Tamandua tetradactyla: one gene and its partners. The protein of the gene in region 3 interacts with the protein of the main gene of each other region in a pairwise test. Links are inferred from orthologs where the notes say so. Each region holds a gene or a part of one and is shown on either strand. Other genes may lie near its edges.

Evidence for each region.
Region 1: the proteins of DAXX (region 3) and FTH1 interact in binary tests that used the Homo sapiens proteins (3 or more experiments, as listed by UniProt). The link is inferred for Tamandua tetradactyla from reciprocal best matches to the Homo sapiens genes DAXX and FTH1.
Region 2: the proteins of DAXX (region 3) and interferon-induced GTP-binding protein Mx1-like interact in a two-hybrid assay, tested with the Homo sapiens proteins (2 studies listed by BioGRID). The link is inferred for Tamandua tetradactyla from reciprocal best matches to the Homo sapiens genes DAXX and MX1.

The regions. Positions count from the first base shown.
Region 1 is NC_135335.1:12,987,344-12,994,276, reverse strand, and holds FTH1 (ferritin heavy chain), read right to left. Parts: upstream 3,063-6,933; 5' UTR 2,872-3,062; coding exon 2,758-2,871; intron 1,313-2,757; coding exon 1,166-1,312; intron 852-1,165; coding exon 726-851; intron 629-725; coding exon 464-628; 3' UTR 303-463; downstream 1-302. UniProt on the Homo sapiens protein: Stores iron in a soluble, non-toxic, readily available form. Important for iron homeostasis. Has ferroxidase activity. Iron is taken up in the ferrous form and deposited as ferric hydroxides after oxidation. Also plays a role in delivery of iron to cells.
Region 2 is NC_135336.1:98,726,429-98,733,335, reverse strand, and holds the start of interferon-induced GTP-binding protein Mx1-like, read right to left. Parts: upstream 3,063-6,907; 5' UTR 3,018-3,062; exon of another isoform or gene 2,913-3,017; intron 1,464-2,912; 5' UTR 1,385-1,463; intron 1-1,384.
Region 3 is NC_135331.1:89,253,900-89,261,412, forward strand, and holds the start of DAXX (death domain-associated protein 6), read right to left. Parts: upstream 3,051-7,513; 5' UTR 2,945-3,050; intron 2,899-2,944; exon of another isoform or gene 2,853-2,898; intron 2,081-2,852; 5' UTR 2,029-2,080; coding exon 1,822-2,028; intron 1,669-1,821; coding exon 837-1,668; intron 711-836; coding exon 496-710; intron 342-495; coding exon 146-341; intron 1-145. Other genes in the region: SMIM40 (small integral membrane protein 40), read right to left, coding at 5,335-5,577. UniProt on the Homo sapiens protein: Transcription corepressor known to repress transcriptional potential of several sumoylated transcription factors. Down-regulates basal and activated transcription.

The DNA.
Region 1 (6,933 bases), on a different chromosome or scaffold from region 3:
ACAAAGTCAGTAGTTCCAGAACTACTTAAGCGTCCTATGCTTTCTAAACGTAAATTGTGAATTAGAATGAACCACTGAAAACAAGTAATTCCAAAAACCTAATTCAGAAATTCAGGAGTACTTAGTGTCTTGTTTAAATTCAAAACACCTACACCTGTTACCTTTCCCAAACTAAGGAATTTAATAAATATAAATCCTCAGAGGAATTTCATTTTATTATGACTGAAACTAAACTGTGGTGCTTAACTGCCAAGATGGCCTAGACAGATTTCCAGCCAACTCAAAGATCTCCAAGACAACAGTTGGGTACCAAATTACTTTATTTGAAGGAATGGTACAAATGAAACAACTTGGTGGGTGTTGATACAACTTAATAGAAAAGGCAAAGGTAAACCCAACATGCATGCACGGCCCTGGTGACCACAGAAGTCACCCCGTGACTCTGGGGAAGACAGCGTAAGGCTTAACTCTCATCATCACTATTTCCCAGGGTGTGCTTGTCAAAGAGATACTCTGCCAAGCCAGAATCCGGGGCCCCCATCTTGTGCAAGTTGGTCACGTAGTCACCCAACTCTTTGATGGATTTCACCTGCTCATTCAGGTAATGTGTCTCAATGAAGTCACACAACTAGAAAAAAATGGGAAACAAAGTTATTGGTAAGCCTTTCCAGCCCCTAAGGCAAATTATTTCTTCCCCCCTTTAGTCCCCAGTTTCCAACACTCACATGGGGGTCATTTTTGTCAGTGGCCAGTTTGTGCAATTCCAGTAGTGACTGATTCACCCTTTTTTCCAAATGTAATGCACACTCCATTGCATTCAGCCCGCTCTCCCAGTCGTCTCGTTCTGGTTTCTGAATGAGATGTGGTTAGGTCAAACATCTGCCACATCCAGTGATTAGCCCATCAACAACAGAGCAGGCACCTAGCTCTAAACGACCAAACTTCTCCAAAAGGGTCATTCAAGCTTCCCTGACACCAGTTTTCAATTTAACATCCTTGCCCATAACTGTTTGCCTACTTTAGTTTAGATGGCAGAAATAAGGCACCAAAAAGACAAAATTAAATGTAACCTCATTTTAAAAGGGAAATCTTCAAGTGATTTGACACCTGAACACTGCTAGCTAATTAGGAGGCCCACATGATGCCTCTAGAATCATTTGTTCACCTTGATATCCTGAAGGAAGATGCGGCCACCTCGTTGGTTCTGCAGCTTCATAAGTTTCTCAGCATGTTCCCTCTCCTCATGAGATTGGTGAAGAAAATATTTGGAAAAGTTCTTCAAAGCCACATCATCACGGTCAAAGTAGTAAGACTGAAAGTATTAAGATGTATATATTAGGCTAGGGATTATCAAAGGAGTAGCTTTAACAGGCTATTAAGTAGCAATGAGTCTGGTAGCCACCGCTTCCCTTTCAAAGCACATCAAGAGGGGACAGTCCCTAAAGAGATGCCGGTCAAGTGTGCTCCTGAATTCTACACCTAAGGGTGATGAGTTGTTACTCTAAAATACAAAACTGAAATTGATTTAGCTTGCTTCTTTGGGGAACCTTTAGAATATCATAGGAATTTACCTTCAACACAACGGATCCTAAAGACTATTGGTGCAGAAGAGAATTTCTTACTGCCAGTACCTTCCTTGCCCTCCCTTCCCAATTACCCCACATTAAAGCATGTGTTCTAAAGAGTTCATAAACTTGTCAGCTGTACAGTAGATTCCTGGATTTTCAAAATTAACCGGCCAGGGAAGATGATGCTTGTGGGCAAATGCTGATGTTAATGTATTACCGTAGAAAACAACATTTTGATTTTTCAGTTTTAGACCCTTGCTGTATTCAAGTGTTCCTTAAACTGAATGGCACACAGAAATCCAGGCCCGTTTCCAATCCCATTTGGTACGTGTCTGTTCTTGGATAACTTGAAATTATGTAAGGCAGTTCTGCTCAATACTCCCACCACAGGGCCTAAAACCAAGACTTGGTAAAACGAGTAAAAACGTGACGATTTATTGCATGGAAACATTTCTTTCCTAGTTAACTGTTGATGGCCTCTTATCAAGAATTAACAGTTCAATTAATGCGCCTCCATAACCCTCCAACCAAGCAGCAAAAGGAAAAAGAACTAAGTCTTGAGCCGCAAGGGCGGGTTAAGTAACTCGGCGAAGGCAGGCGATTCCTAGAGATACGCTTAAATTCAAGTGGGACTTACAGATAAGCACAGCAAAGGGCTGGAGATGGCTGCTCGGGGGGGGGGCCCGCCCACGGGAGATAAACCACTTCCCACCCAGCCCCCAAGGTTGCCACTCGACGCCATACCCTGGGGGATGGGAGCTGAGCTCTTCGCCCCCATTACCCAGAGAAATGGAGGGCCCACACACACGGCTGCAGGCGGAGAAAAGGGCAGAAGAACAACAACAAAAAAAAATCACCTTCCTAACCGCAGGCTTGAATGTACAGTCTGCAAGTCTTGCAAACCCGGGATTTTCAGAACACTTGACTCTCCCCCTCCCTAAAGAGAGGTGCGCAGTGGAGGCTCTAGCCCAGGAGGGAGCGCTCCCTGGGACACCCGGAAGGCACGAAATTGCCCACAATCAGAATTGCTGCGCAATGCATGTCCGGGGTAGACTGGGAGCAGCTTCCATTTTCCCAAGGGCGCGCGGAGGCGGTGGCCACACCCCCGCCCCGCCCAGCAACCCGCGGGGCCCCAGGGAGACCGCGCCCGGCCCCCAACCCAGCCGCGAGCCCGCTCGCCAGGCCTCACCATCGACAGGTAGACGTAAGAGGCGTAGAGCTCCAGGTTGATCTGGCGGTTAATGGCGGCCTCTGAGTCCTGGTTGTAGTTCTGGCGCACCTGCGACGGGGACGTGGTCGTCATGGTGGGCGGTTGAGGAGAGGAGGAGGCGGCGGCTGCGCGGCGCTGGAGAGGTGGCTGAAAGCTGCTCGGAGTGGCCGGCCGACGGGGAGGAGGCGAGCGCCGGGTTCCGTTCAAGCACTGTTGAAGCAGGAAACCACGGCGACTCTCCGCGAAGACGTCTGCGGCGGACGGCTGCTCAGCCCGCGTCTTATATCGGGTAGTCGGCGTCAAGCCCGCCCCGGCCAATCAGAACCGCCCGCTCGCCCCTCTGAGGCCCGCCCCTTCCGGTGGGCGCGCGAGCCCCTCCCATCTGGCTTGGGGGAGGGGCGCCTCCCCCCCCCCCCCCCTCCACCGCGCGCTTAGTGGGCTTGAGGGAAGGCCTGGGGAGGGGCGCCGAGTCTACCACAAAGCCCCGAGCTCGGAGGCCCACGGGGCCGCGGAACTGGTGGGAATCGGCCCCGGGCTCGCAAGTGGTCGGGACGGGGGGTTGGGGGGGATGCTGAGGTACCAAACGGGCACCCCGAGGCTCTTGGCCAAGGACACGCTGTGAACAAAATCCGGGCCTCAGAGAAGCGGTTGCCACGCGCCTCGAGGCGCTTGCCCGGATTCCCAGGGGAAAATGGACGGTGGTTAGAAGCGGGTCCTCGTTGGCCGAGGGCGTCAGAGGCTGGGTTGGGAAAAGGCGCACTTTCCCTTCCCTACGGAGCAGAATGGAGGCGCGGGGCCCGCCGCGGGCGTTCGGATTCGCGCCCGCCCGTCGCCGAGAGCAAACATGGCTCCTCGTGCAGTGTGAGAACAAAGGCCGCGACGGGCGTTGTCCTGGTGCCCTGGAGTCTGAGGCCCGGAGCTGAGCCGCCTGACGTGAGAAATTCGCGGGTGGCTTAAAACTCAAAACACAGAACTCGGGAGTTTAAAAAGAAAGGAGAAGAGACTTAGGCGGCTCGGATCGGCCTCGTAGGCGCCCCATTCGCGGGAGCCTGGGGTCGAGGAGACCCCGCGAGGGGCCGCTCCCCTGGGGTTGTCCTTGAAGAGAAGCTGATGACCCTGAGTGGTGGGGGGACGGGCGCCAGGGACCCTGGAGGGGCTCGTGGGGGGCTCGCAGCTGTGAAGCAGTGTGGGCACGACTTCGTGACTCCCGCCTCCTGCCCTCCTAGCCTCCTGGTTTGGGGGTTCTCTGTTCTCGGCCAGCCCCTTCGATGTGTGTGGAGACCCATTAAAAAACCCTTTTAATGCTCACACACATAAAACTGGAAGCTGGGCTTCCAAAGCGTTGTTTTTTGTTTTGTTTTGTTTTTTCAAGGAACACCATTAAAATATTAAAAGAAGTTTGCTGATGGAAGTATGGCAGTTTCTCCCTCTTGGCGCTTTATTCATTTCAAAATGAACGTAAACTAGTCTCAGGAAGAATTTCTAGTAGGGTCAGAGTTACGAAAAAGTAAGCAGAAGCTGGCTGTGAAATACAGAAGAGGGGTGCCTTACCCGAACAGGGATAGGTCATGCAGGCTTCCGCTACGAAAGTGATACGCGAGTTTGGAGAAGTTAATTAAAAGGAAGGTGAAGTGGGCCAGAGAATTCCAAGCAGGGGGAACAGCATATGTGAATGTATGAAGGTGTGGCAATGCATGGTCTGTCCAGGGAACCTTCAGAAAGGGTGTCAGCCTGGAGAGTAAAGATCATGTTGGAGAATGATGCAAGGGGAATCTAGGGCAAGGTCTGGACAGTTGTGTGCCATAAAAAGGGGTTAAACTTTATCCTGGATTCAACATGGAGATTCTAAGGGATTTCTAACCAGGGAGACACAGCAGTAGTTTGTTTTTAGAGATCTTACAATGGATCAACAGATAATTTATTAGAATAAGACTCCAGTTAAGTCACCGGATGCAAAGCTTTCCTACATAACAGGAACCACCATTTAGAAAATGTGATGAAAGGAAAAAGAAATTCATTTACATTGACAACAAAAGCTTAAAATACCTTGTCATAAAGTGAACAGGGACTGTATGAAAAAAAAACTGTCAACAATTACTGCTAGAAAGGAAAAGACAACTTGCTGCAATGGAGACACCATGTTTCCAAATGGAAAGGTTTCATTTTTTAAAGATGTCGGTTTTCCCCAAATAAACGTATAAATTCAAAGCAATTTCCATAAAACTTCTTGGGACTTGATTCTAAAGTTTATTTGTAAAAAATGTGTAGAATAGCTGACAAACACTTGGGGATAGAAAGCTTTAAAGGTAGATTTGCCCTCCCTGATAACAAAAAAGTACTAAAAGTGCTATAAGCAGTGTTTAATTGAAACAGTGATTAGGTCAGCACAACAAAACAGTCCCACCCACATATTTATGGGAACATGGTACATGATAAAGTGGCATTTCAAATTAGAGGAGAAAGAATGATTTCAGGAAATGATTTTGAAACAATTGGTAGTCATCTGGAAAACAGTGACTCATTCTACTAAAAAATATGGTTCAAAAGAAAAAAAATATGGTCCAGATGGACTAAAATTACAAACGTTAAAGAAAAACCTATTTATACATTTATACCACCTTTAGGTGGTGAGAAAAATATATGGAAGATTATCTTTTATAGTTTTGGGGTAGGGAGTGCTCTTCTGAGGCCTTCTTAAAAGGAAACTTAGCAGATTGACTCCTTAAAAATGAAACACTGGGCAGGCCACGGTGGCTCAACAGGCTGAGTTCTTGCCTGTTATGCTGGAGACCTGAGTTCGAGTGCCCATGCCTGCCCATGCAAAAAAAAAAAAAAAACCCCAGTAAAATTAAAGATGCCACTTGCAAAGTTAAATAGACAAATAACAAGGTGGGTTGACAGTATTTGTAGCTTGTATAAGTCATGACTGTCAATAAGCAAAATATATATATATGTAGTTACATAATGTAATATATATATATAATGTAATTATATATCATATACATATAAATCCCACCTTTTGGTAACCACTCTGATGGTCTCCCCTGCTCCCTGAGGGCAGACACTGTTTCTAACTTCTTCATCGCTGCACTGCCAGGACTTTTGCAAGGTGCTTTGTTAGTCATGCTCAGTATTTGTTGAATGAATGGATGGATGAGTGATTGAGCGTGGAAGATGGATCAAAGTTAGGCGAGAGAGCTAGATACCAGTTGGGAGACAGCAACCCTAACCCTCAGTGTGCAGAGGGGACAGAAAACAGATTGAGAGACATGGGGAAGAAACAATGGACAGGATGAAGTGGCTGATGGGTTAATATGGGGGTGGGCAGACAGCTCCCTAGGTTTCTGGCCCGGACAGCTGGCTTCCTGGTTCCTTTCTCTGAAACAGGGAGCACGGGAAGAAATGGGAGATGGCCAGCTTTGTTTTGGACTGGAGGTGCTGAGTTTGAATAGCCCCCAGGGGGCTTTCCAGAGGGAAAGCGCTAGCATGAAGTTGGAGAGAAATGCGCCTATTTTAGAAAGCAGAATTTATGAATCATTATTGGCTCCATGCTTGGTTAAACACACAGGCAGCTACAGTGAACCTCAGAGCAAAACGGAGGGACGGTTTGTACTGTAGAACGTGGCTTGGGGGCTGGCTAGGCTGGGAAGAATGGAAGGGAAATCTTGTGTGAGTGTGTGTGTACGCGCGTGCGTGCATGCATGCACTTGTGCCGCTTTGCCACCTGGAGGGCCAACTGGGGGGAGGGGTGTCAGAACTGCCATCTCTAAGTCTCTAGATTCTTCCAAAGCTGCAGCCTGGTCTTTGGACCTTTGTTGACCAGGAGCACACACACCCGCCCCTCTGCTTCGCGTGACTTCTAGGAGGCTGGAGTTTGGCTGGTCTCCAAGGCAGCTGCCTCCCGGGGCCAGGAGCCGCGGGAGGGGCTGTAGGGGAGGGGAAAAGGGCCTGGCGGGTTGAATCGGGAGAAAGCTGGCCCGTCCTAGAGCTGGAGGAGGCCAGTGGTGGGGGATGTGGTGGAAATTTGCTGCCCCACCATGACTCAGCACTCTGCTGGTCCTGAGGGATTTGACTTGGGCTCCAAAAGTGCTTTGTCACTAAGGAGGAAGGTGGAGGCCTGGAGGGCTGTGACTTCTCTAAGGTGGGGAGGAGGAA
Region 2 (6,907 bases), on a different chromosome or scaffold from region 3:
CACTTCTTTTTTTTAGTTAAAATAATATATATCTGAACTCTAAATTGTTTTCACTGTTCCTTTTGTTCCTCAAATTCATATTTCCATCCCATCTCCCCCACATAAGTGTATCTTAATGTCATACATTCCATTCTTGAAAGCATTTAACTGACTACCTGTTCATGCTTATTTCCACTGAAAAAAAATCATGTAGGCATAGATTAAAATTCTTTTTATTTTTATTTTGCATGGGCAGGCACTGGGAATCAAACCCAGGTCTCCAGCATGGCAGGCGAGAACTCTGCCTGCTGAGCCACCATGACCCGCCCTAAATTCACTTTTAAAAGTTTTCTGGGACTAAAGGTTCTAGATGTTACATTTTATAGCATATAATAATCTCTGGACAAAAGTCAGTGAAAATGTCTCTACTATGAGTTGAAATAAAACCTATTAAAAAAATAAAGCACTCTGATATTCTCGCAAGCAGTGAGGATAACCAAATCAATAGGCCGAACCCTATAACAAACCTGGGGGTTTGTTCATATGAAACTTATCCCTGCAAAGAATAGGCTAAGCCTACCTAAAATTAGGCCTACGAGTCGCCCCCAGAGAACCTCTTTTGTTGCTCAGATGTGGCCTCTCTCTCTCAGCCAACATGGCAAGCAAACTCACTGCCCTCCGCCTCTCTACATGGGACATGACTCCCAGGGGTATAAACCTTCCTGGCAATGTGGGACAGAAATCCTAGAATGAGCTGGGACTCAGCAACAAGAGATTGAGAAAACCTTCTCAACTGAAAGGGGGAAGAGAGAAATGAGACAAAATAAAGTGTCAGTGGCTGAAAGATTTCAAATAGAGTTGAGAGGTTATCCTGGAGGTTATTCTTACGCATTATATAGATAACCCCTTTTTTAGTTTAAGGTGTATTAGAGAGTCTAGAGGGAAGTGCCTGAAACTGTAGAGCTGTGTTCCAGTAGCCATGTTTCTTGAAGATGATTGTATAATGAATGATGCAGCTTTCACAAAGTGACTGTGTGATTGTAAAAACCTTGTTCTGATGCTCCTTTTATCTATGGTATGGACAGATGAGTAAAAAATAGGAATTAAAATAAATAATACGGTGAACAAGTGTTAAAATAAATTGGGTAGAGGGAAATACTAGTGGTCAGAGAAAGGGAGGCCTCGGCAAGGGGTTTGGTATATGTGAGTTTTTTCTTTTTATTTCTTTTTCTGGACTGATGTAAATGTTCTTAGAAATGATCATGGTGATGAATATACAACTATGAGATGATATTGTGAGCCACTGCTTGCACACCAAGTATGGAAAGTTCATACATTAAGAATGTTCATGTTGGATGTTTGGTTTTATTAATAAAAATTTAAAAAAAATAAAGCACTAACTTACCTCTGATACACGCTTCTTTTACTTGAGGATGTAAGGTTGATTAGTCAGATGGAAATGCAGAACTGTTCTCCTAACCTCCCTGAAATCATGCAAAATATATAAATTAGAAGACGCAGGCAAATAAACGAAAGTATTTTTTCATTTGGGGAATATTTTGTCCCTTGGGGAATGTCCCCAAGAGACATTCCCACCACTGAGAAAGATGCTTAGAAGTATGTATCAATCAGGAAAATCTCGAAGCCCTGTTCCAGTTTATGCTGCCTCAATTTAAGGACATATCACAGACATCAAAATTTAAAACTGCCCCTCTGTGGCACTTTGAGGTTTACCTGCCTCCAGGACAGCACCTCTTCAGTTTGGAAGGGGACAGAGAGATGCACTTCCTTGTAAGGTGGGAAAAGGGCAATCATGAACAGCAATCAATTTTGAAGTGTACTTGTGGAAAAGACAATCTGGAAATTGATTCCCCAAGACCCTCCATGCCTTTGGAAACACTTCTGGTGCCAGGGGGGTTCCAGGCCCCTTGCTGGAGACTCTGCTTCATCTGCCTCTCTGGAGTGCCATACCTTCTGAGGTGGGCTGCTCAGGTGACCTCACTGGGTGGTGATGTCACAGGGTCACCTGAGCTTTCTACCCACATGACCTTGGTTCAACTTGATCAGCTAAAAGAGAGCTTTATTAGCATATTTCTTTCTCCATTTGTTTCAGAAAGTGAGATTCCCTGAAAGCAAGATCTTGTGGGTTTTATCTAAAACTTAAATGTTTGTGCCTTTCTTGGATCAACTTTGAAAATCAGTTTGGATTGCAGAAACCTGGCAATCTCAGTCATTAAAACTAGCTTGCTGCTCATTCATTACACTCGGCATCCAGCCAGATGGGGCCTTGGCTTGTAAGAGTGAACAGAGAGGATTCTCAATTCTGGCCTTGGAGGAGTCAAGCTAGGGCAACCCCTAAGCTCTCAGCCCCAAACCTCTCAGAAAACCCTTGGCACAGCCCTCTGTGTGCACACATGACTGCAGGGGAATCAGCCCACCCTGCTCCGCTCTCTTTCTAGCTCTCGTGGACCTGAGCTCGGGCCACTGTGGCAGCATCTCCTTTAGCCTGGGGGCAGTTATGAATGGTGGGGGATGCATGTGGCCGCCCAGAAGGGCCGAAGTCTTACCAAGCAGGTATTCCTCCATGTTTCCTCATGACTGCATCCCATTCCCACACCCAACACCCCCCACCGCGCCCCCCCCCCAACCCAACCCTTTGGTCAGATCCTTACTTAACCCATGGGAAGAGTTACAGTGCCTTGAAGATGGGATGGGGTCGTTGTCTCACTCCTAAAATCAGGGAGGGGAGACGGAGCCCAGGGGCAGCGGGCTCTCTCCATTCACGCCCAGGGCAGGTCCGCACTGCTCAGGCCCCGCCGTCCCTGGGGGTGCGATAGGGATGGGGCCGGGGCGTCCAGGCCCTGATCCCAGAAAGGAGCAGGGACGGGAATTAGGATTCAGGACCCCACCTTCAGAGTCCGTAAAGATCTCACCTGCTAACCTCGGGAAATGCCTAGGGTGCGGAGATTCTGCAACCTGCCGGACAAACGCCTCTCTCGGTGGTCCCCAAGCCCGGCCCGGAGCTGCGCGACACTCACCGGTCCCCGCGCTGTCGCCGTGACACCCGCGTTCTCGCTCCGCCTGCGCCTTTATGTGCGGCGGCCGGCCCCGCCCCGTCCTCCCCCTCCCGGCCCGGCCGCGAGAAAACGAAACTCCCCACACTGAGCCTGCCTACCGGGTGCAGCAAACGAAACTCACCCCGCAGCGCGCTCTGCCTCCGGAACGCCTCTCAGCTCAGTAACACAGGCGTTCGCCAAGCGGGGCCCCGGCCCGCAGCAGCACCCTCCCTGGGAGCTTGCGGGAAATGCAAAATCTCTCCCCCAGTTCAGATCAGCTGAATCAGGAACTCTGGAGCCCCGCCCAGCAATTTTTTGTTTTATATATATATAATATAAAAATTGCCATTTCAGTAATTTTTACGTGCTGCACACAGTGGCATTACTTACATCTACAATGTTGGGCTACCATCACATTTTCCCTTATTAAAATCTTTTCATCACCCAAAACAGAAATTTTGGCCCCCAGTCCCTGGAAACTTTGTCTGCTTTATACCACTATGAATGTGCCTATTCTAGATATTTCATAAGAGTAGCATCATACAACATTTGTCCTTTTGTGTTATTTCACTGAGCATAACGTTTCCAAAGGCTCATCCACGTTGTTCCAAGTATCAGAATTGCATTCATTTTTAAGGCTGAATAAGATTCCACTGCATGTATATGCCACATTGCTTTTATCCATTCTTCTGTTGATGGACACTTGGGTTGTTTCTTCCTTGCGGCTATTGTGAATGATGCTGTGGTGTGGACAAGTGTCTGTTAGAAGCCCTGCTTTCAACTCTTTGGAGTGTGTACCCAGGAGCGGGATTGCGGGCCACATGGTAGCTCTGTGCTGAACTTGAACCGCTGCCTGAATAGCCTGGAGTTAGTGCAACCAGGACCCCTGGAACCAGCCTTGGTCTTGGAGTTCCCATTAGTGCTTGGTCTTCCAGAACACATGCATTTACAATTGGATGTCTTAAATTCCTGCTAATGGCTCAGTGGGATCATTCCAGAAGCAGCAGGGGTTCTGGAACATTCTCTGTGAAAAGATCCTTTAATGGCACCCCTATCCTTAGCTCATCCCACCCCACCCCATGCACATACCCTCTCATCTTCCTCCTTTCGCATTAGCCCTTGTCTACTCCAAGACTTCACCTGGTTGCTCCAGGACAGAAATGGCTCAAGTGGGCAAGCAGACCCAGGGAGGCCCTCCTGGGGGCCCCTGAGCCTGGACTATGGGCCTCATGGGTGGTGAATAACATTTTCCTTTGGTAGGGGCTGGCACTAAACCTCCATTCTACTTAGTTCATTTCAGAATCCCTGACACAGACTCCCCTGAGAATCCAGAATCTTCTCCAGCTCCAAGTATTGGGGTCAGGGAAGGCTGGGCAGAACCAAATTAAATATAGTTGCCCACAAGAGAAGGGAAAAGACCCGCAGCATGGCCCCATCGCCTGAAGTCCCTCTTGCTCTGCGAGGGCCATCCTTGAGGTCTGGGCCACCCTGTCCAAGGGTGGTCTGGCAGGAGAATCCAAGCTCTGCCAGTAATTAGCGATGGAACCTTCACCGGGCCACTCAGCACCCCTGGACGTCAGCTACTCCTTCGACAAGGAGAAGTGTGACACCATTTCCTGCTGGACAGAGAGCACAATGGGCCAAGGCTTTCTAAAGGTGTCCAAGTGCAACTGAAACACAGGGAACAGTACGAGGCAAGGGGCTGGCATGCCTCTGACCCCCGATTGCACTCTGAATGATGACCCTGTTTTTTCAAACCACAGGAGACTCTCCCTACAGGAATGAAGACGTCCGGAGGGCGCTGTGGGCAGAAAGGAAAACTGAGAGGCACCAGAGCTGTCATCTCTGCCAAGACAAGGGGAAGGTGTCTTAGTTCCCCAGGGCTGCTATAACACAGGACCACAAACTGGGCAGTTTAATATAAGAGATATGTACTTTCTTACAAGTGGTAGAAGCCAGAAGTCTGAAATCAAGGTGTCGTCAGGGCTGTGCTCCCTTTGAAGTTTCGAGGGGAGGACCCTTCTTTGCTTCTTCCTGCGTCTGGTGGTTCCAGGTGTTCCTCGGCAACCCTTGGCTTATAGCTGCATCACTCCAATCTCTGCCTCTGCCTTCATGTGGACTTCTTCCCTGTGTATCCCCTCTGTGTTTCTGTTTCCCTCTCCTCTTTCTTATAAACACACCAGTCAATGGATTTAGGATCCTCCCTCATCCAGTATGCCCTAATCTTACCTCGATTCCATCTGCAAAAACTGATGTCCAAATAAGGTCACTTTCACAGGTGTCAGGGGTTAGGATGTCAATATATCTTTTTGGCAGACACAATTCAACCCACTGCAACAAGTGAGGCACCTAAGGCACACAATTTAAGGAGCCCCTTGCTCTGAGTTGATGCAAATGCCTCCTTAAATTTTGTACCCTGGCACCTCACTCCTTTCCTCCACCATCACCCCCATCCTAACCCTGGACTTCAGTTGTTGTACTTGCTTTAGGGTGTGATTCAGCTGATATGCATTGGCCACCTAGGATGTGACAGTTTAAGTGCCCCTTGTACAATAGCCCACTCACATTCTCCCATCTCTTCCCCCACCATGAGGCAGGTAATACCATCACCTGCTTTTCCCATGCAAGAGACTGATGCCTGACAGGTTAGGTCACTACTGGGCCTTGCTGCTAGGAAATGGTTGTGCTACAATCCCCAAATCCCAATCCAGGTTTTTACTCCCAAACCAGCATCTTTCTCCTTATTCTGTAGTTGAGAGGCAGGCTTTGTCCCCAGATGCTCACAGCCTTCCACCTGAATTGCTGTCGATTCATTCTTTACCAAAGAAGCACCGATTTCCTGCCAAATAAATCTCAAACACTAGAGCCCTTTGAGAATTTCTCCCCTCATCCTCCCGACAGCTTGAATGAGGCACACAGTTCACACCCTCAATCCTGTGTTCACACCATTCCTACCTTGGCCTGTCCTTCCATCCAGGCACCCTGAGAAATCCCACTGTCCTGCTCAGGCCACCTGTGATGTCCTATGCAGTTGTCCTGAGAACACTAACCAAGGCTGGGCCACATCTCTTCTGGGCTCCCAGGAACTTGAGTTCGGGCCACTGTTGCTGCATCTCCTTTAGCCTGGTGGCAGTTATGGATGGTGGGGGGTGCATGAGGCCACCCAGTAGAGCCAAAAGTCTTACCAAGTAGGCATTCTCCCGGTGTCTCCGGTGGGCTCAGCAATGCTTAATAAACACGCGCTGAATGTGATTGCATGGAGGTGCCCAGCTCCCTCTGCCTGCCTGGGGCTTTCAGGGAGGCCTAGCCCTGGTCCTGTCCTCCTAAGGTTTCCTGCCTCCTTCCAAAGGCATTTGTCACAACACACCACGCAGAGGGAAAGCCTATTAGTAGTGGTCAATCACACTAACTCTCAAGCTCTACGGCTTGCAGCCTAGGGTGCCCCAAGGGTCTTCTCTATTTATTCATTTATTTATTTTTAGTTTTTAGTTTTTATCTAAGTGAGGACATCCTGGATGTAACCTTCTACAATTTTATTTTTAGTAATACATTTATTTTTGGAGAAGTTGTAGGTTTACAAAAGTACCATGCAGAAAATACAGACTTCCCCCTCTTCCCCGCCCCACATTAACACTTTGCATTGGCGTGGTACCTTTGCTTCAATGATCATAATTCTACTTTTTATAGTGTGTTCACATTAGGGTTCAGTGGTGTTTAATTTTTACTCTAGTTACAGATACACACTCTAAAATTGCCCCCTTTAAACCACATTCAAATATATAATCCCTAATTGGTTTCCGTAAATCTCTCTCTTCCCCTCTCTCCCCCTCCCATTTCTCACGCTTTCCCCAGTCATCTCGGATTCGGTTTCA
Region 3 (7,513 bases):
AAGAATGACATGAGACCTAAGTGAAATAATACTGCTGAGGGGGTGCTAGGGGAAAAGAGGAGGAAGGGAAGGGTCTCAAACAGATAGCTTATGGCCAATAGAGTAGAGGAAACTAACATTTGGCGAGAATGTTTCCCTAACATACCTGTTTCCTCCTCCTCCTCCTCTTCATCATCCCCCTGACCTTCCTGCATCTGTTCCAGATCCTCCTCTTCAGAATCTGTAACCTCCTCCTCTTCTTCCTCTTCTTCCATCTCTTCATCACTTTCCTCATCTTCTTCCTCATCTGTCTCAGCCTTGGAGGTGGTAGGGCACTCCTGGGATGCTATTCCACTAGGGCCCTGGGGACGAAGGAGTTTCTCTAAGGAATCACTTGCCCCAGAGGTTCCAGTCTTTGATTTCCTTCTGCACTTTACCCCATCAATCACCCTGGACTTCTGGGTGGCTAGTACAAGGGTGGCTATAGCCTCTCTGGAGGGAATGTCCCTCCCATACCTCGCCAGAATCCAAGGAGGGTTTGGGGGAGTCTGCAGAGTGGGAAGAAGCGCCTTGGGGAAGCCGGGCTCTTCTCTTCTGTCTCTCACCCTCCTCGCTCTTTTCTTGCATCATTGCGTATTTGGAGATGACCTCATCTAGCCGGCTCATGGCCAAACTTCGGTTTTCCCGAAGGCGCCGGGCCAGGGCAGGATCTGACAGTGCGGGGTCAATGCCTATGTGGGAAAATATAAAGTCAGAGAACTAAACTCAAACACTAGAAGGAAGGACTAGAGAGTTGCCCCTTCGGCCACACACCTGACATATAAGGGTCACTGATAGGCATCCTGCTAACCTCCTACCTGGCCTATAGTCATCTGTGAGATGGCAGCCGAAGTTATAGATGAGATCGAGGTGACGTCGTTCCTGTAACCTGATGCCCACATCTCGGAAGGCATCCTGAGCCATGAGCTGGAGCTGCTGTCGGGGGAGGCCGAGACTGTGGCGAGCAGCTGCCTTCTCTACGGCCTTTAGTACATCTCCATAGTCAGGAAAAGTATCAGGCCCTGGTTTGTTGATGAGCCGCTCAATGCGCCTGTTAACCTCTGGGTAGCGGGTGCCACGGTAGGGGATGCGCTGCTCTATGACACGGCCTGTGAGTGAAGAGCAGTCTTTCAGTTCACATAAGCGCCCAAAGAGGCGGATCAGCTTACGCTTTAACCGAGATTCCTGCAGGTATGTGGAATCCGGGTCGTCCAGTTCTGAGAGATCCAGCTCCTTCTCCTGCAGCCGTCGGATCTCTGCCACATAGAGCGCCAGCAGCTGCTCCAAGCGCTGGATCTGCCGCCGGGAACCACGGGTCCTTGGGGCCTCAGAGGCAGAGGTCTCAGCATTTGTGGGTTCCGAAGAGGGGTTTGTGGCAGGGTTATCCCCAGAGGGCTCAACAGAGGTGGTGGTAGCAGGGGCCAGGTTCAGCTTCTTCTTGGATGAGTGAGCCTTGAGAACAGTGCAGAGCTCATTGATGTAGACATAGAGCTTAGCTGGCCGGCTCTGGGCCCGAGACAGGACCCGAGAGAGGATGTTGCAGAATTCCGCTGAGGCCAAAAACAGAGAATGGGCACGCTGCTGCCGGTTAGAGAGGAATGGGACCACCTCAGGGTGGTCCGCCGTCTGCTTCTTACACAGTTCAAGGAACTGGAGGGTACAGGGAGAGAGGGAAGGGGAAAGAGACAAGGGAGGGGGTTGAGAGAAAAAAGGGAGCGTGGGATTAATGGGAAAGAAAGGACAGATGAGCCAATCAGCCATCCCCCTCCCTGAGATACACGAATCTTCTCCCCTAAAGCTCACCTCTTCAAACAGCTTCTCATTCTCCAACTTGTAGCATTTCTTGCCGCCCGAACTACTGCTTCCTCCAGCCCCACGGGGCTCGGAGGAGCCAGGGGCTTCTGCCTGGCGTGAGGCCAGACTGGGGGGTGGGTGGGAGGGACCTGGCTGAGCAGCTGCTTCATCTTCGTCATCATCATCCAGCACGATGATGCTGTTAGCGGTGGCCATGGGGGATCAAATCCCCCGGAGGGTGGAAGTGTTGGGGATTTCGGAAATCCTGCTGGAAGGGGATGGGGCCTTAGAAAGAGCCCCTCCAGCACAGCCCCATCCCTTCATCTCACACATTTCCAATCTTCTTGGGTTTCAATTACACTCAGCCCTGCCCAACTCCTCACTGCTTATTTTCAGCAACCATTAGTTTCATATGCTTTTCATGTCCTTCACCTATTGGGGCCCCAAACCACCGCCAAACCTTAAGTCCCCACCCCCAGCTCCACCCCTCAAGCCGATTTCCGGTCTCTTCCTTGCATTTCTCCACTGTTTTCTCACAGTTGGCAAGTTGATTCTTCATCCCAGCCCCAGGACCACCTCCCACACTGGATCCCAGATTTCTTTGACACCACCTTGCTGATACCACACCCCCATCGGCGCCACCCCAGGTGTTTTTTCCCCTTTTGCCATCAAACACGTAAAATCTGTACCTCCACCCCATCCTGAATTATCAGCCTAACTCCCAGACCCTGCAGGTAAAAGATGGACCCTTCCAACAACCCTTTCTCCTCCTTGAATTATCTCTATATTTCAACCTCTAATAGGTCCCCTCGAACCCACAGGAGATATTTCACCACGAATCCCCTTCCTCTCACCCCACTCTAATTTCCCCCATTTTCTCTCAGTGACCCGTAACTGCTCGTGAGCCCCGCACTGGGCTCTCCCGATTCCTCTCATCCCAACCTTGGGTCGGGTCCTTCCCTGGGTGAGCTTCCCGCCAAGTCCCCCTCCCCCAGTTCAGCTCCTAGCCACCCCGCTCCCCCTCAAGCATAGGAAGGTACCACAGCTTGCCCTTCAGGTTCAGAGCCCGGGCCTCCCCACTACCTGTCCCCCGATATCCCCGCCCCCACTCCCCACACCGTCCGGCCCCCACCTCAGAAACGGTCTCTCGAGGCGACCCTCGCCGCGGATCTCAGAACCTCGCATGGTTCCCTCCGCCTTCCTTCCCCCTCCCACCGCGGGCCCCACTCAGGACCGGAAGCCGCCGAGTTTCCGCCTACATGCACCTAGTGGCGGCCATCTTGTCGTACGGAAACCTGTTTTCCTGTGGCCGGAAGTAACTGTACGCCTTCCACCCGGGACCTCCGAGTGCCGCCCAGGTTGTCTGCGGTTCCCTTTCCTGTGATCTGTAGGGGGCGGGGTTTTGTCCCTGCAGGGCGTCCTAAAGCACCCGGGAACTACCATTTTGCCGTACGGCGCTGGCTCAGCGCGGCCAGCTGATCTCTTTTCACCCGGTGCTTCTGCGACTCCGCCAATCAGAAACTTCCTGCCTCGGGCACAATCGGCAGCGAGTAGCGTGCAGGGAGGATTAAGCCACCTTTCCAACTGGGGGAGGGCACGCGGGGATGGAACAGGATGGATAAGGAGTTAAGTTCTTCAAGGCTGCTCAGGAGTCACGGAGGGATGGGGGTCTCTTAAGATGGAAATGAAACCTTTTCCTTCCGCTAGGCTATTAAGCCTTCCGGCCTTGCTTTCGTATCTCCCAGGTACCATGTGCACAGCATAATCAGCCGTGCCAGCCCCTCCCCTTCCAAGAGCTGAGCGCTCCCTTGCCGCTGTCCAGCAGCTACTTCTACATCAAGATGCCTACATCTCCCAATCGTGAGATCATAATACAAGCATACAAATGAGCACAACGCGCTATAGGATTGTTATTGTTATTATTGCTGTTGCTTTGCTTTTCAAGCTCCACAGAAATTAAGCAGATGGGACCTGGTGGTTCTCCGTCCCTCTCTTGGGGGTCCCCGAAGCGCGGGCGGTGCTGACCAGGAGGCTGTGCTTTGTGGAAGAGCCCCAGGGCCTGAGGATGAACGATGGTGCGGCAGCTTTGAGGGGAATCTGTGCAAATCCACTGTGAGGGTTGTGAGACGAAATGAGGCTTGTGAAAAACCTCGGGTCTAGTCTCCTTTTCCTCTGGGAGAGCTGAGGAAAGAACGAAGGAAAAGAAACCGCCTGTGACACCCACCTTACCCCCGCCCCAACCTCGCCCGGCGTTAGGAAGGCCTGAGAGACTGATGGAGCCAGGGCGGGGTCCAGAGTTGAATTTATGGGGAAACCAGATATTTTTCCTGGTTAAGTTAACATCGCCCCAGTCTCTGAACTTCCCACCTACATGCTTGCGCATTCCACAAGTGGGCATTTTTCCACTTTCCAGGACTGCAGAGGTCCTTACGTCCCCCGTGCCATCAGAATCCCAGAACTTTAAAGCCTCCGCCCATTAAAGAATCCCACATACTACTTATCTCCAGTTTTTTAAACCTATAGTCTTCAAAATGGGAAACTTGAAAACCCCCCAAAGGGTATTCAGAAATGGAAGATTTAAAGGGTTTAATGTCCAAATCCTCAACTTTCCCAAAACTAGTCTTCCTGAGTAAGCCCCTGCAATAGAGGTTTCCCTTCATCCCTTCTCCTTTTCAATACACTTTCTTCCTCAAAAGAAAAGGAAGTATAGCTTTCAATCATGAAATCACTTGGGGTAATATTACTCTGTCTCAAAGAGACAGGTAACCTATTTCCTTTATCAAAGCTGTAAATGCCACTTTGTCTATTCCATTAGACATGTATTTTTTTTACTTTTAATAATTATAAAAATTTGCAAAATCTTTATGTTGCTTTGATCAATTTTATTCTAATAATAATTGTAATAACCCAACCCAGAAGAAAAATTGTCAACATCTAGAGCTTATAGTCACAAGAAAGAAAAATATTTTTCATTTTAATTAATGTATATATACATGCATTAAAGTATATAGGTTGATCGATAAGAGACTTTCAAGTATAAAAATATAAAATTATCTGGGAATGGGGTAGTAGAATGGTAATAGTAGTTCATGGAGAAAAGGAGATAATGAAGAAAGGAAAAGCAGATTCTCAACTGCTAAAGAAAAACTTCTTAATGTATTTTTTAATGGGTGCTTGTGGGTTTCAAGTTGCTATGGTATTTCAATAATTTTGAAAAAGTTAATATTTCCTCACATACCTTTAAATAGGCAGCTAAAATTTTTCATTATAAATTAAAATTGTTTCAAGGATGTAATTCTTGGCATATTGGAAATATTTGCATTTTAAAATAAAAACAAAAGGGTGGTTTAATATGTGAGGAAGTATTGACTTTCAAAATTATTTCAGGGAGCGTAATGCAAATATTTTAAGACTGCTCTGAGCTATCCAAGTAGCCATTTTGCAGCCCCCTACACTCCCATTTCCCTCCTGTCTCCCCTCTCACCTCCGTGGCAGAGAAAAAGGATATTTATGGAAAGGTGGTCACAATTCCAGCTCCTCCTCCTTCTCAGGTGTGCCCAGGAGCCAGTCCCCAAATTTTGCCCAAGGTAGTGGCCACAGCAATTTATAGGCAGCCTCCAGCATCAGCAGTGCCAAAAAAAGGGCCAGGAAGATAAATAAAGCCTTGTCCAAGGCCCGACACACAGGACCCCTGGTTGGAGTTGGACCATGGGCAAATGCCAGGAACACATCTTCCTCATCCACATTGCCTTCTTCTTCTGCCATCCTGACCCACAGTCTGACAGCTGGCTGAATTAGGGAGTCTGGGATGGAAGCCTTGGCTCAGCACTCCCGGGATTAAGGCAGACTGTGGTGCTGGCCATGAGTTCTGCACCTGTCTACCATGACCCGAATTCCCTCACCCAAGAAGGAGAAAGGAAAGAAGAGGCTCTGAGCCTTTGGGAACAGTCATTTAATCATCCAGTGCAATGTGAACAGGAATCATCCAATGCAAACCACAGAATCATAGGACAGTAAAACTGGACAGCACTTTAGGGATCGTGTAGTCCAGATCCCTAAGTCCTGTCCAGTTTTATTGTCCTATGGTTCTGTGGTTTGGAAACTGAAGATCCAACATGCAAGCTGTAAAGAACAGGCAGCTGAACTGCCCAAATCATTCTGGATCTCTAGGCTCAGGGCCTTAGAACCCTACATATAGGAGGTAAGCAAGTGGACCTAATGAACTAATGTAAGCCTCTGACAGTCTAGGAAGGGACTAGATCTTTAGATGGCTTCTGCAGCCCCTTCCAGTTTAACAGTGTGTATGTGGGAGGGGCACAACTATCTGAGAAGGGTGGTGGCAAGCAGCCAGGTCTCTTCTGTACAGACATATCCTACACACACACACACACACACACACACACACACACACACACTCACGTCTCCAGTGGCTGACACGTTTAGTTAAAATGTAGAGCACTGTCTTCTGAACTTAAGGCCTCTGCAGTGTGAAAGAAGGGTTATGAATAGGCTTTATGGACCCAGGGCTACCTTACCCAAACCTCCTTTTTTTAAAAAATATTTTTATTATGAAATATAACAGATACAGAAAACAATAAATTTCAAAGTACATTGTAACAAGTAGCTAAAGAACAGATTTCAGAGTTTGGTATGGGTTACAATTCCACAATTTTAGAGTTTTATTCCTAGCTGCTCCAAGACACTGGAGACTGAAAGAAGCATCAGTATATAATTCATTTGTTAAATTCCATCTTCTTTGTTATAACTCTTTCTTCTCTTCTGATTCTTCTCCCAATCTTTAGGGGTATTTGGGCTATGCCTACTCTAACTTTTTCATGTTGGAAAGGAGTTTCAATAATATAGGATGGGAGATGGAACTACTTGCTGTTATTGGAGAAGCTGCTCTCTGGATTTCAGGACTTATCTGGCCTAGGAAACCATCTGGAGGTCGTAGATTTCTGGAAAATAATCTTAGAGTATGAAACTTTTGTAGAATCTCCACTAAAGCCCTAGGTGTTCTTTAGGTTTAACAGGAATGGTTTTGGTTGGGGTTTGGCAAACCCTGCTAATTAGCAATTTCTAGCTAAAGGTAGCATAAGAGTAGCCTCCAGAATAGCTTCTCAACTATATTTGAACTTTCTTATATACTATTATCTTATTTTGTAACATTTTTCCCCCCTTTTGGTCAGGAAGGCATTGTCAATCCTACAATGCCAGGGCCAGGCTCATCCCTAGGAGTCATGTCCCACATTCCCAGGGAAGCTTTGACCACTGGGTGTCATGGAGGGGGGAAGGTAATAATTTTCCATTACAGAGTTGGGCTTAGAGAAAGAAAGAGAGGCCACATCTGAGCAACAAAAGAGGTTTTCTGGAAGTAACTCTAAGGCATAACCATAGGTAGATTTAGTTTCTCCACTACAGAAATAGGCTTCATAAAAGCAAGCCTCAAGATCAAGGGTTTGCAGAAGGAAAGATAGACAATAAAGACTGAGGTGGTATAATCTAGGAATGCTTAGAATGTACAATGACAGTGGCTAAATGTAAAAATTAAATAATGTTTTTGCATGAGGAAGAACAATGGAATGTCAATATTGAGGGGTGTTGGGCGGGCCATGGTGGCTTCTCAGGCAGAGTTCTTGCCTGCCATGCTGGAGACCCAGGTTTGATTCTGGTGCCTGCCCATGCAAAAAAACAAAACACA